3 linked regions of the Drosophila melanogaster genome follow. The protein of the gene in region 3 interacts with the protein of the main gene of each other region in a pairwise test. Each region holds a gene or a part of one and is shown on either strand. Other genes may lie near its edges. The genes, in order: CG4676, CG32988 and Kdsr.

What was found.
Region 1: the proteins of Kdsr (region 3) and CG4676 interact in a two-hybrid assay, tested with the Drosophila melanogaster proteins (one large-scale study listed by BioGRID).
Region 2: the proteins of Kdsr (region 3) and CG32988 interact in a two-hybrid assay, tested with the Drosophila melanogaster proteins (one large-scale study listed by BioGRID).

What each region holds. Positions count from the first base shown.
Region 1 is NT_033778.4:13,234,265-13,237,697, reverse strand, and holds CG4676 (uncharacterized protein), read right to left. Parts: upstream 1,719-3,433; 5' UTR 1,684-1,718; coding exon 1,443-1,683; intron 1,391-1,442; coding exon 777-1,390; 3' UTR 643-776; downstream 1-642. Other genes in the region: CG4679 (uncharacterized protein), read left to right, coding at 1-384; Qsox1 (quiescin sulfhydryl oxidase 1), read left to right, coding at 2,801-3,433.
Region 2 is NT_033779.5:8,862,817-8,866,300, forward strand, and holds CG32988 (uncharacterized protein), read left to right. Parts: upstream 1-2,047; 5' UTR 2,048-2,087; coding exon 2,088-2,855; 3' UTR 2,856-2,876; downstream 2,877-3,484. Other genes in the region: CG32986 (uncharacterized protein), read left to right, coding at 1-863; CG32987 (uncharacterized protein), read left to right, coding at 1,039-1,812; CG32983 (uncharacterized protein), read left to right, coding at 3,091-3,484.
Region 3 is NT_033777.3:25,260,308-25,264,189, forward strand, and holds Kdsr (3-ketodihydrosphingosine reductase), read right to left. Parts: upstream 2,192-3,882; 5' UTR 2,094-2,191; coding exon 1,877-2,093; exon of another isoform or gene 1,875-1,876; intron 1,807-1,874; coding exon 1,238-1,806; intron 1,174-1,237; coding exon 949-1,173; 3' UTR 656-948; downstream 1-655. Other genes in the region: CG11858 (uncharacterized protein), read left to right, coding at 2,503-2,578, 2,638-2,954; GlnRS (Glutaminyl-tRNA synthetase), read right to left, coding at 3,031-3,882.

The sequences.
Region 1 (3,433 bases), on a different chromosome or scaffold from region 3:
GTGGCGCTGGATATGTTCGAAAGGGTTGAGGAGGCTATCAAGCGTCTCCGAAAGGTCTCCTTCACCGGCCAAATGCTGGGAGATATACTCACGCTTCTCGTTCGCGGTGGTAGCTACGAAAAGGCGACCGAAGTCTTCGCCCACATTGACAAGAACCAGCACAGAATTCCCGGAACACCAAGCCTAAATGCTCTGATAGAATTTGTGGACGCAAGTGTGCAGGAGAAGTCACCCAGCCAGGCGCTGTTTGCCCTGCAATATGCCGTTGAGAACAACTTTGATTCCAGGGAGTTAGCCAAACGTATTCATGAAGGATTTACCCTAAATGAAACACACCTGTCTAAGCTGAAATCGCTCGTAGGCGAAAGTTTCCTCGATAAGTAGTAGAGTCTTTTGTAAATTATATAATGAACGCTGTTAAATAAATAACCATTTAATAAATACTTGTTTGGTTTCATTAAACAGATTAATTTAATACATATAATAGACATTACTGAATGAATACACAGTATTCTAAATATTTTGTAAAGCTTTATGTTAATAAAAGGCTTTGTACTATTTTAACTTGTAAGCTGATCAAATGTGTGACTTGTAAACATTAAAAATTAATTTCCATTGGTCAAGTAGAGAATAGTAAGACGTATAAATTTGGATACTATTTCCAATTCAGATGTTGACTAGTGAGTCTTAAAATAAACAATACTGATTTTGTTATGAAGTAGATATAAGTAAATGCCTCTAATGAATGTCAAGAATGGGTAAGACACAATTCAGATCTATTCCTCCTTTGGAGAAAAGGCGGCTATGGGTTCCCAGTTCATTCCGTCGTGTGGCAGATCGCTGCGTAGAAACGGCGACAGCCAGGTGAGATGCATTCTCTTGCCCAGAACCATCTCCAGGTTACCCCGCAAACCGCGATCGTACTTTCTTGTGCCGCGCTCTCGTGTCACCGAACCGCTCTTGAATATCGACCAGTGGAAGACAAGGAGCAAGGATGATATGGCGAAGCCCAGAAGGGTGAGATCATATATGACCAAGTAGAAGGACTCCCAGCTTGGAGACAGCATCAGGCTAACCACGGGAGCAAATATGGTGAACAGCGTAGACCAGCGCCAGTAGATGTCCAGATGGAGATGCCACAGATAGATGCTCTCCATGATGGCGGCCGCCAAGGATCCGATGATCATGTAAACCAGGTAGTAGAAGAAGTACCTGTAGTTGTGATGCCCGATGCAGCAGCAAGTGAACCGACAGTGGTGGTCCCGCTTCAGCACGCACACGTTGCACACTTCGCAGTGCCAGGATCGAGGTGGCACCAATGTCTGACAATCCTGGCAAGAGTGCCACCGTGCCAGCTGCGCCGCATCCAACGGTGGCTTCAGCAGCTCCTCTATAAAGACAATCTTAGAAGGGATACCACAAAATCACTGCTTGCTACCCACTGCGGATACTAGTGTCCACAAGCATGCAGGCCAGCATGTTGGATGTGATGTTGAAGATGAGGAACAGGCTGGCCAACCATAATAACGTGTACCAAATCCCTCCGATGGCAAACAGTTCCGGCATAACAATGGTCACATGGAAGATGTATGTCACGGGCACAAAGACAGCCACCAGGAGGAAACATGCGAAATCCGAAATGGAACGAGGTTTAACGCGATCCCACGAGCGCAAAATCATCATGCTCCCGTTATTTTTTGTACCCCCCAACTGAGACAGTGCTGCAAAGCGATTTTTGGCTCTGCTGCTAACGGTAAGACTGTTAAGTCGAGTATGGTGAAACGGTTAGAACACAACTCTTTACGTTAGGAAACCCGTAAAATGTTAAATAAGATTGAATTTAACAGAAGCAATCCGGTTTTTAAAGAACACAAATGATTTAATTTAAAGAAATATAAATATATAAGGTAATAATAAGTAACTTAATACGAATAAATCAAATGTCATAAACGATGGTATATTAAAGGAATACAAATGTTATAAGCTTAAGTTCTTAAGTTTGCTTTATATTATTACATAAAAACTTGAAATTAAAAATAAAATTTTATTTGAAATTAAAGAACGACTTTATAATGGGGATTTCTACTGTGAAATTACAAAAACAAAAACCATACAAAATTGATAAGGCATAGCGCTTCGATGAAACTTTGCTTTGTTTTTTTTCTTGGAACTTTTAAAGGCGATTCAATTAATATATACGTGTGCATAATAGGTTGGGGTTTTTTTTTGCGGATTATCGAAAACCATATGACGAACGAGACAATAAAATAAAAGAATATGTTTAACTAAACAATGTAAAGTTTTAAATTGTGAAAAATAATCATTTCCTTGATGTAGAGTGCAAGCAGGTATAAAACATTGCCTAGCCTAGGTGCACTGTTCTTTTTATATTACTTTAATAATTTTTTTCTTTTTTAGGTTTTAAAATTTTGGGAGCGAACTAGTTCGCAGTAAAAATGAATTCGTGTAGCTAGTAGTTTATACATATATACCAAATGACTTTTACTGACAATAAAACAAATTAATAGGCAAAGTAATTTAAAAATGCACAAATTATATGGCACGAAAAACGTTTAACATCGTTTCGCTTCGCGAGTTTTGAAAATAGCTGAAGAATCGTAGCTAGAAAGCAGACGATTTGGCATCCCTGGCAGCAGTTAATCAAACCACTTGCGACCGTAAAACATTCCAAATGCTTCGGTGAAGTTAAATCTTATCGCAGCAGAGCAGTCGCGTTCCACATCGCATTCCGTACGAATCGCAGCCGCAACCGATCCCGCAAATTGGGTAGATCCGCAAAATGTCGGCGACGCACCTGGTGATTCTGGCCGTCGCTCTGCTGGTGGACATCGCATCCGCGGGCGTTCCCCTTCCGCGATACGAGGCGCTCCTCAAGCAGCAGTCCCCTCCATCGGATCCCACACTGGGTCTCTACGACGACGGGGATAAGGTTATCCGCCTGTCGGTCGACAACTTCAATGCTACCGTCCTGGACCAGAATCGCGGAGCATTAGTCGAGTTCTACAACACTTACTGCGGCCACTGTCGCAGATTCGCACCCACGTACAAGTCGGTAGCGGAGCACCTGTTGCCCTGGTCCGAGGTGCTCATCGTGGCGGCCATCGATTGCGCCGCCGAGGAGAACAATGGCATCTGCCGCAACTACGAGGTGATGGGCTATCCAACGCTACGTTATCTGGGCCCCGGTTTCCAGCCGGGTCCTCAGCATTACGGGCAGAGCCTGCATACGCAGGATAAAAACGAAATCCGCGAAATACTAGCGGGTATGGTGGCCGCAGAGAACCTGACCAGCAGCCACAACAATTCCTACTGGCCAAACTTTCACTACTTAACGGAGAACGATTCAGCCAGCAGTTTGTTCGAAGGTCTCAGCAGCGCCACGGAGTACGTGGCAGTGGTTCACGAACCGGAG
Region 2 (3,484 bases), on a different chromosome or scaffold from region 3:
GCAGTTTAAGAAATGACTGGGTCATCTATCCACCAGCCCTCCAGCTTCTCAACTTTCCTTTGCCACAGCAGCAAGAGCAGGCTCCTGGAACTTTGGTTCGATACGAGCATCCTTCGATACACCAGCTTCGCTTAGCACCCCGTAGATTAAGGGCACGACGTTCGGTTGTGGAAGGCGAAGGCTCCAGAGGACTGGACAACGGAAATGGCGACTCGTCGAAAATAATATTTGTGCGGCGCTGCTACATGATGGCTGGATTGTTTTCGACTACAACTGCGATCCTTGCCATAATCCTGTCCAAGGTAATTCCTCCGGAGGCAGATCTTATAATGGCAGGATTCATAAGTGCAATGGTGTCCCTAATGTTTCTCTTTGTCTTCTGTATTTTGACCAAGTTGCGGAGTTTTTATTGGTATAGTTTCATCATGGCCGGGTTGTTTGTAAGTCTGGCAGGTTTGGGCGTTATTCTGCTTCTCCTGGAGCGGAACCTTTCCCGCGTGTGCATTGCCCTTCTGGTGGCCTCCGCCATGACTGTGATATGCTATTTCGCTGGCGCATGGATACCCAAGATCATCCTCCCCGGAGAGAGGACCATGTTCCTCCTGCTCGTCATTTTCGTGATGTCCTCAATCTTTGTGATGACCATGTATATCTTCACAGACAATTGGATCTACCAGTTGGTGTACTTCACGTTATTGGCCACTTTGCTAATACCCGCATCCGTTTACCATGCTCAGGTGGTTCATTCCAGGCGATTCCAGCTGCCCGATTACGAATTCGTTATTTGCGCCGTCAACATCTATCTGCACTTTCTGTTGTTCTTTGCGGCCTTTTACTTTGTCATCTGGGCTCCCAAATGGTGAGAGTTATAGGAGTTAATTTAACGTGTCCGTGTAAAATAAAAAGAAGGCTTTAATGAGAAAAGATACCAATTTGTAAATAAAAGATATAGAAGGTGAGCAGCTTTGCCAGGAGGTAAGTGTCAGGGTGCAGGCCAGACCTAGTCTTAACACTCGGTCCATAAGGATTTTTAACGGGATGGACAACATTTACCACCAGGACAACATCCGGCCGACGATCGAGCAGCTGGACCCAATGACCCAGTTCATCCGCAGCATCTATAACATTGGCCTGATCCTTATCGGAATTACGGTGGGCGCATGGATTCTGCTCATGCTGACCCATATTCACCTGCAGAGGTACCTTCCGTTTCCCTGCTACGTCCTGGCTCTAATAATTTTTCTGGTGATGATATGCATGCATTGTATCCCGAGAATATCCTACTACTCTCCCTGTAAGTGGTTCATGACAGGTCTGGTGGTTGTGTGTACCACCTTGTTTGGCTGCCATTTCATCCACGACTTGAGCCCGCTCATTATCAGTTTCGTGATGATCGGCGTGGCCCTGATCATTATGTTACTCAACTTCTCTGGGGCCATGTGCCCGCAGGAGTTCCTGCCCGGCGGTGTTTGCTCCACGCTGCTGATGATGGCACTGCTGTTGGTCTTGACCATTGTGGGAATCGTCCAGCTCTGCACCGGGAGTGTTGAGCTGCTCGACACCTTCGTCAGCATTCTGTTCCTGATGCTGATCATAGCGATCCCCATTCAGGCGCAGTTCAACCATGGCCGTCTGAACGTCGTGGAAGTGGTTCCCGAAGAGCACCTCATGGTCTGCACCCTGACTTTATACTTGCATTCAATGATGTTCTTCTTCTGCGTGTGCTACTTCATCCTGGTCGACGAGAGAAAGGAGGCCATCAGACAAACATCTGAAGCTCCGAAAATTTCACTCGAAAATGATTTTGATTGAGAGAAATAGCTGTCACTGTGTGATCGAAACTGATTAGCGATCTGGCAAGTTACTATGGTGTTCCAGACCAAAGGATACTGTCATCCAGTCTAATTACTTAGTGCGGTGTAGCCTAGGCGGTACAGAAAATATAAATATATTCTCATTGCAAGGCAATTAGAATAAAGCCAGAGTATTATGAAAAGTCCTAGTCTCAATATAAGAGAAAATGAATCACTTACTTTGCTTTTTTCTTCAAAATTACATTATATTGACCTAAAATAATTGATTAACACATGAATAATCGCAATCGGGGTTGGGGTCGTTATGGCCTTAGAACCGGAAGACCTGGTGGCGAGCCAGTTCCTGCGGAGGGACCGGAGGTCTTAGTCATCAACGAGCGGGAGTTGCGGGCCTTCATCTTCCGGGTGTACCTATCCTCCGTAGTGCTGTGCCTGCTGTCTTCCATTTCGTGGATCATACTGTCGGCACTCGCTGTGAGGGTCTACAAGGCAATTCCAGTGCCGCCGTTCGTTTGGCTGATATTAGCTTTCATCATTCTCTCAGTGCTCGGCTGCATCGCACAGACTCCAGCATTGACCTTGTTATGCTGGGGATTGGTGCTGGGATCCTTGTTCTTTCTCACCCTGTTCGGAGCGTATTATATGCATCTAGTGCGCGTCTGGGTCCTTTTGATTGCCATTTTGGTTGCCGGATCCCTGCTGGCCCTGCTGCATTTGTATGGGGCCAAAAGTCCGGAGGTTCTGCTACCCAACATTATCTGTACTTGCTGCATTTTTCTGCTGCTCACCGTCACCATGATCGTCCTGCTAATACTCTTCCTGATCATCAATGATATGCGGTATCTCCTGGCACTTGCCATAGTGTTCGTCATCCTGATCGCATTCATGGCTCCATTTCAGGCTCGTTTCATTTGTGGAAGGCTGCAGCAGGTGCCTTATGGGGAGACTGCGGATTGCGCCAATGGCATTTACCTACACTTTATTTTTCTACTCTCCTGCATGCTCGTTTTTGCCCTGTACTATAAGCTAGTTAATAGTTGAATAAAAAATATGTTGAGGCTGATGTGCAAATAGCCTAGAAATGTATTTGCGACTATGTTGGATAAAAACTGAATGGTTTTAAGTGCATGTTGTTGGCTTAAATTAAACCATCGAAAATCAATGAACAGGCCATTTGGTTTTTGATTGGTATACCTCAGTAATACTAGTGAACAATCTTAGCAAAATGTCGAATTACATCAATTTTTGAAATTTCTGTCTCAAAAAATTCGGATCGATGAGTTGTTGTCAGCATGAGCAAGTGGAATTGGAAGAGGAAGCAGACGAGGTGCAGCTAGTGTTTGCCCGTACTGTTTACATAGAAGCCGTACTACTGTGTTCCGCATCGGCATTTCCCTTAATGTTTATTGCGTCGCTCAAGATAAGCATTGTTAGAATCCTGCCGGTTCCGCCGTACGTGTGGCTGCTTTTCGCCCTCGCCATCCTGGCAGTCCTGATCTGCCTGCCCATCAGTCGCGTTCGGCCACTGATCGTCTGGACAATGGTCGGCGGGGTTGTGGGACTCTTAACGCTGTCCGCCGCATACTATGTAAACATGTATGACATTCCCGACTTGGTGCTCTACTTTACCGTAATGGCACTGGTTTTGGGCGGACTGATGTTCTCTGGAG
Region 3 (3,882 bases):
GTTTGTGTAGCATTTTTCGTTTCACTGTTGAGTTGTCGTACGGCGTCTTGTGCAAAATACCTTGTTTATTGTTTAATCTAACTGCTTGTTTAAATTTATATTTATTTACAATGCTTTCTATCTATTGTAAATCCCAAACGATACCGAAATACTGCAGATCAGCTCTAATTTAGTTTTTCATCCTAATCCTAACAATAATTTAATAACTCTTCTATCCAAAAAGTAGACTTACTGTATTTGAATCCAATTATTTTTGATTATCGTGCTAAGATGCTATAATAATATGTCTAAATATATATACAAACATATATATATATATATTTTGCATTATGATTATACAATTTTTGTTAGCGTTAACTATACAGAATGTTAAAAAAAGGCGAATTGAAAACTGAAACTATAGGAAGTGTACACTGGGTGCGTCTTATGAATAAAGAAAGACAAAAGAAAACCAAATAATTTATCGTTGAATTTTGAACCATTTGGAAAAGGTTGATGGCTTTTGTGGCGTGGTTTTTGTATTTATCTAATCGCTTCTGCATGTAGTTTGCTGTTCGATTTTAAGATACGAAACCAATTTTGATTAGGCCAATGCGTGAAATTGCTTTAGCGATTAGCACAATCACTAAGTGGTTATTTAAAAACGACTCATTTTCTGAACAGTAAATACATTTTATTTTTGTTAAAACGAAGCACACACCAACAAAACGAGCACACGTCATCTAGTCTAGAAAACACGATACAAATAGTTAAAACCCTAGCACGGCAATAATAAAAAAGTTCAAATGCACATACAAATATATATATAAAAATGAATGATAATACGGGAATTGTAATATATGAATAGGCTAACCATGCAAAACAATCGCACATTTTGATTAATTATAAAAAAGTGATTTAATTATGGGCACTTGGGAATACTTTAAGGGCAGCGGGACAAGAGAGATTTCACTTGGACTCCACTTGCGATGTGGCCTTGGCCTTATCCTCTCGAGCGCATTTGCGTATAACACTATTGAAGTACTTGTGCAGAGCGTAGCTAACTATTCGCAGTGGTCCCAAAACTATGGCGTGCAGAAGATTGGTGAAGAAGCCATCCCAAGGAAGCAATGCTCCACCCAAAGTGGTGATCAGCCAGCTTTCTGCTCCAACAGTTGAGGTGAATTTTCCCTTCTACAAATAAGAAAAAGTATTCTAGTTAGATTGCGTGAATATTAACTATGGGTAACAGACTCACCAGGGCATCCTTAAGTATAGCTTTCGCCATAACTTCCGGCTCTATGAGACCTCCTCCACCAGAGATTATTTTGGTTTCCCTGGGCTTTGACTTCTCCTCCTCCTCGAATCCGGGTGTATTCGTATCGCAGGGCATGGCCAGAGTGACGCTGACCCCGTGCTCCCGAGACTCCATTGCAATCGTTTCAGCCATCGCTCTCAGGGCGTACTTGGTGGCTGAGTAAGGACCGTATCCATAGATGCCAAACATAGCCGCCTGTGAGGCAGTGATTACAATAATGCCGTCGCCGGCTTTCTTCATTTTGGGCAGGACATAACGGGTGCAGTTATAGGTGCCGAAGAAGTTTACGTTCATCAGCTTGTGGACATCCTGGACTGAGACCTCCTCGAACACACCGCAAATGGCCATTCCGGCACAGTTTATTAAAGTGTATATGGGGCCGAAGCTATCTTCGATCTCGCCAAGCACTTTGGCCACCTGGTCATAATCGCCGCTTATGTCCAGACTTCTGTACTGGAACTTTTGATCTGGCCGCTGGCGAATCACTTCCATCAGAGCCACTGCTCCGCCTGCAAAAAAGATCGTATATCAAAGATAAGAGTATTTTGGGTGGGGTTTCCTAGCCAGAACATTACTCACTCAGCATTTTCTCGTCGCGCGCTATCACCGTCACATTGGCGCCTTTCATGGCGCACTCCACCGCCAGACAGAGTCCGATTCCCTTGGAGCCGCCGGTGACCACCACATGACGACCCACAATGCTCCTCGGTTTCTTGGCCATGACGAACACGTAGACCAGAACATGAACCAGCACCGCAATGCCCACGCAGAACACTATCTCCCAGCTCAGTTCCATGATGACAATTTCAAGAGGGTGCGATAATTCCCGGATTCTCTAATCTCTTACGCTGGCTTATCTGCACCCAAAGTTAAACGTCTGATTAGAAAGTGCATCTAAGTGTGACCGTTGACGCAAACCGGATTTCTATCGAAAGCTTTCGACGCACATCAGAGATGCAAATGTGGCTATAAGCGGCCAAGCAAATATTTTGTTCTTCAAAACTTTTTGTTTAATTTTATTCATAATAAATTAAATGTGCAATGGCTACCCATATGAATCAACAACATAAATATTTACTAGATCTTGAAATAAAGTGGTTTGATAAAAAAGGTTAGATCTTAGTGCGCAGCACTGACCGCATGTGTCTGCTCCAACCAAACTGTTTACTTGTTTCGAATTTGCAATTTAAAAACATTGAACGAAAATGCCACCGAAAAAGGATGCGAAGAGTGGAAAGGATGCAGGGAAAGGTGGCAAAAAGCCAGCCGCCGAAGACAAGTGTAAGTGCTTACGACTAAAGCAAAAATCCTATCCTTCAAATGAATTTTGCCATCTGCAGCTGCCGGTAAGGAGAAGAAGGGAGGCAATGCTGTAAAGGTTCGTCACATCTTGTGCGAGAAGCAGGGCAAGATCACCGAAGCGATGGAGAAGCTAAAGGCAGGCCAAAAATTCCCCGAGGTAGCGGCTGCTTACAGCGAGGACAAGGCGCGACAAGGCGGCGATCTCGGATGGCAGATCCGAGGAGCGATGGTGGGCCCATTTCAGGACGCCGCCTTCGCATTGCCCATCTCCACTGTCAACAATCCCGTGTACACAGATCCCCCGATTAAGACCAAGTTTGGCTACCACATCATCATGGTGGAGGGAAAGAAATGAACATTGATTTTATAAATCGAATTTTAATGTGATACGGATTTTGTTTCTTTTCATTTGTGGGTTCCCGAAATCCCGTTCACTTCTTGCCCGCATCTTCCTTCAATCCCACAGTGCGGTTGAACACTAGGTGGTTCGCACTGGTGTCAGGATCTACGGAGAAGAAGCCAATCCTCTCGAACTGGAACTTGTCGTAAACCTTGGCCTGGTTTAGGGCCCGATCCGCGAATGCCACCACCACCGACATGGATTGCTCACTGATGTCGCTCAGGAAACCGCCGGGCACCTCGTTGGGATCCTCGGGATTCTTGTGCTTGAAGAGCTGCTCGTACAGACGCACTTCCAGCTGTATCGGCTGCGATACCCACTGGACAAAAGCCTTGGGCTTCTCGGCCTGCTCGGCAGGTTGGCTGGTGCAGATTAGTTCCACCACCTGACCAGTCGCCGGATCCTTTACTATCTCATCCACGCTGATTACGAGACCCGCGTGCCGGAGACCCACAGATTGCTTCGGTGCCAGACGACGGTATCCCTTTTCAGGCTCCAACTTGAAGTCTCCCTGCTCAATATAGATCACCTTGTCTAGGGTGATCTTATGAGTTCCTTGCTGTGGGTTTTGCGGGAAATCAGGCACTTCTAGCTGCACGGGCGCTGCATGAGGGAAATTCTTTATGGTAACTTTGAGCGGTTCCAGGACAACCAACCGACGGGGAGCTGTAACATTTAGCACATCCCGCACTGCTGCCTCCAACATGGCGGGGTCGACGGCGATCTGGGCACCCGTTACGCCCATCTGGGCGCAGAAGTTGTTGATGGCCTCTGCTGGGAAGCCTCTACGTCTCAGAGCCGTCAGAGTAAACAGCCTGGGATCGTCCCAGTCGTGGACAATCTGCTCCGTGATCAGCTTTGCAATCTTGCGCTTTGACACAAG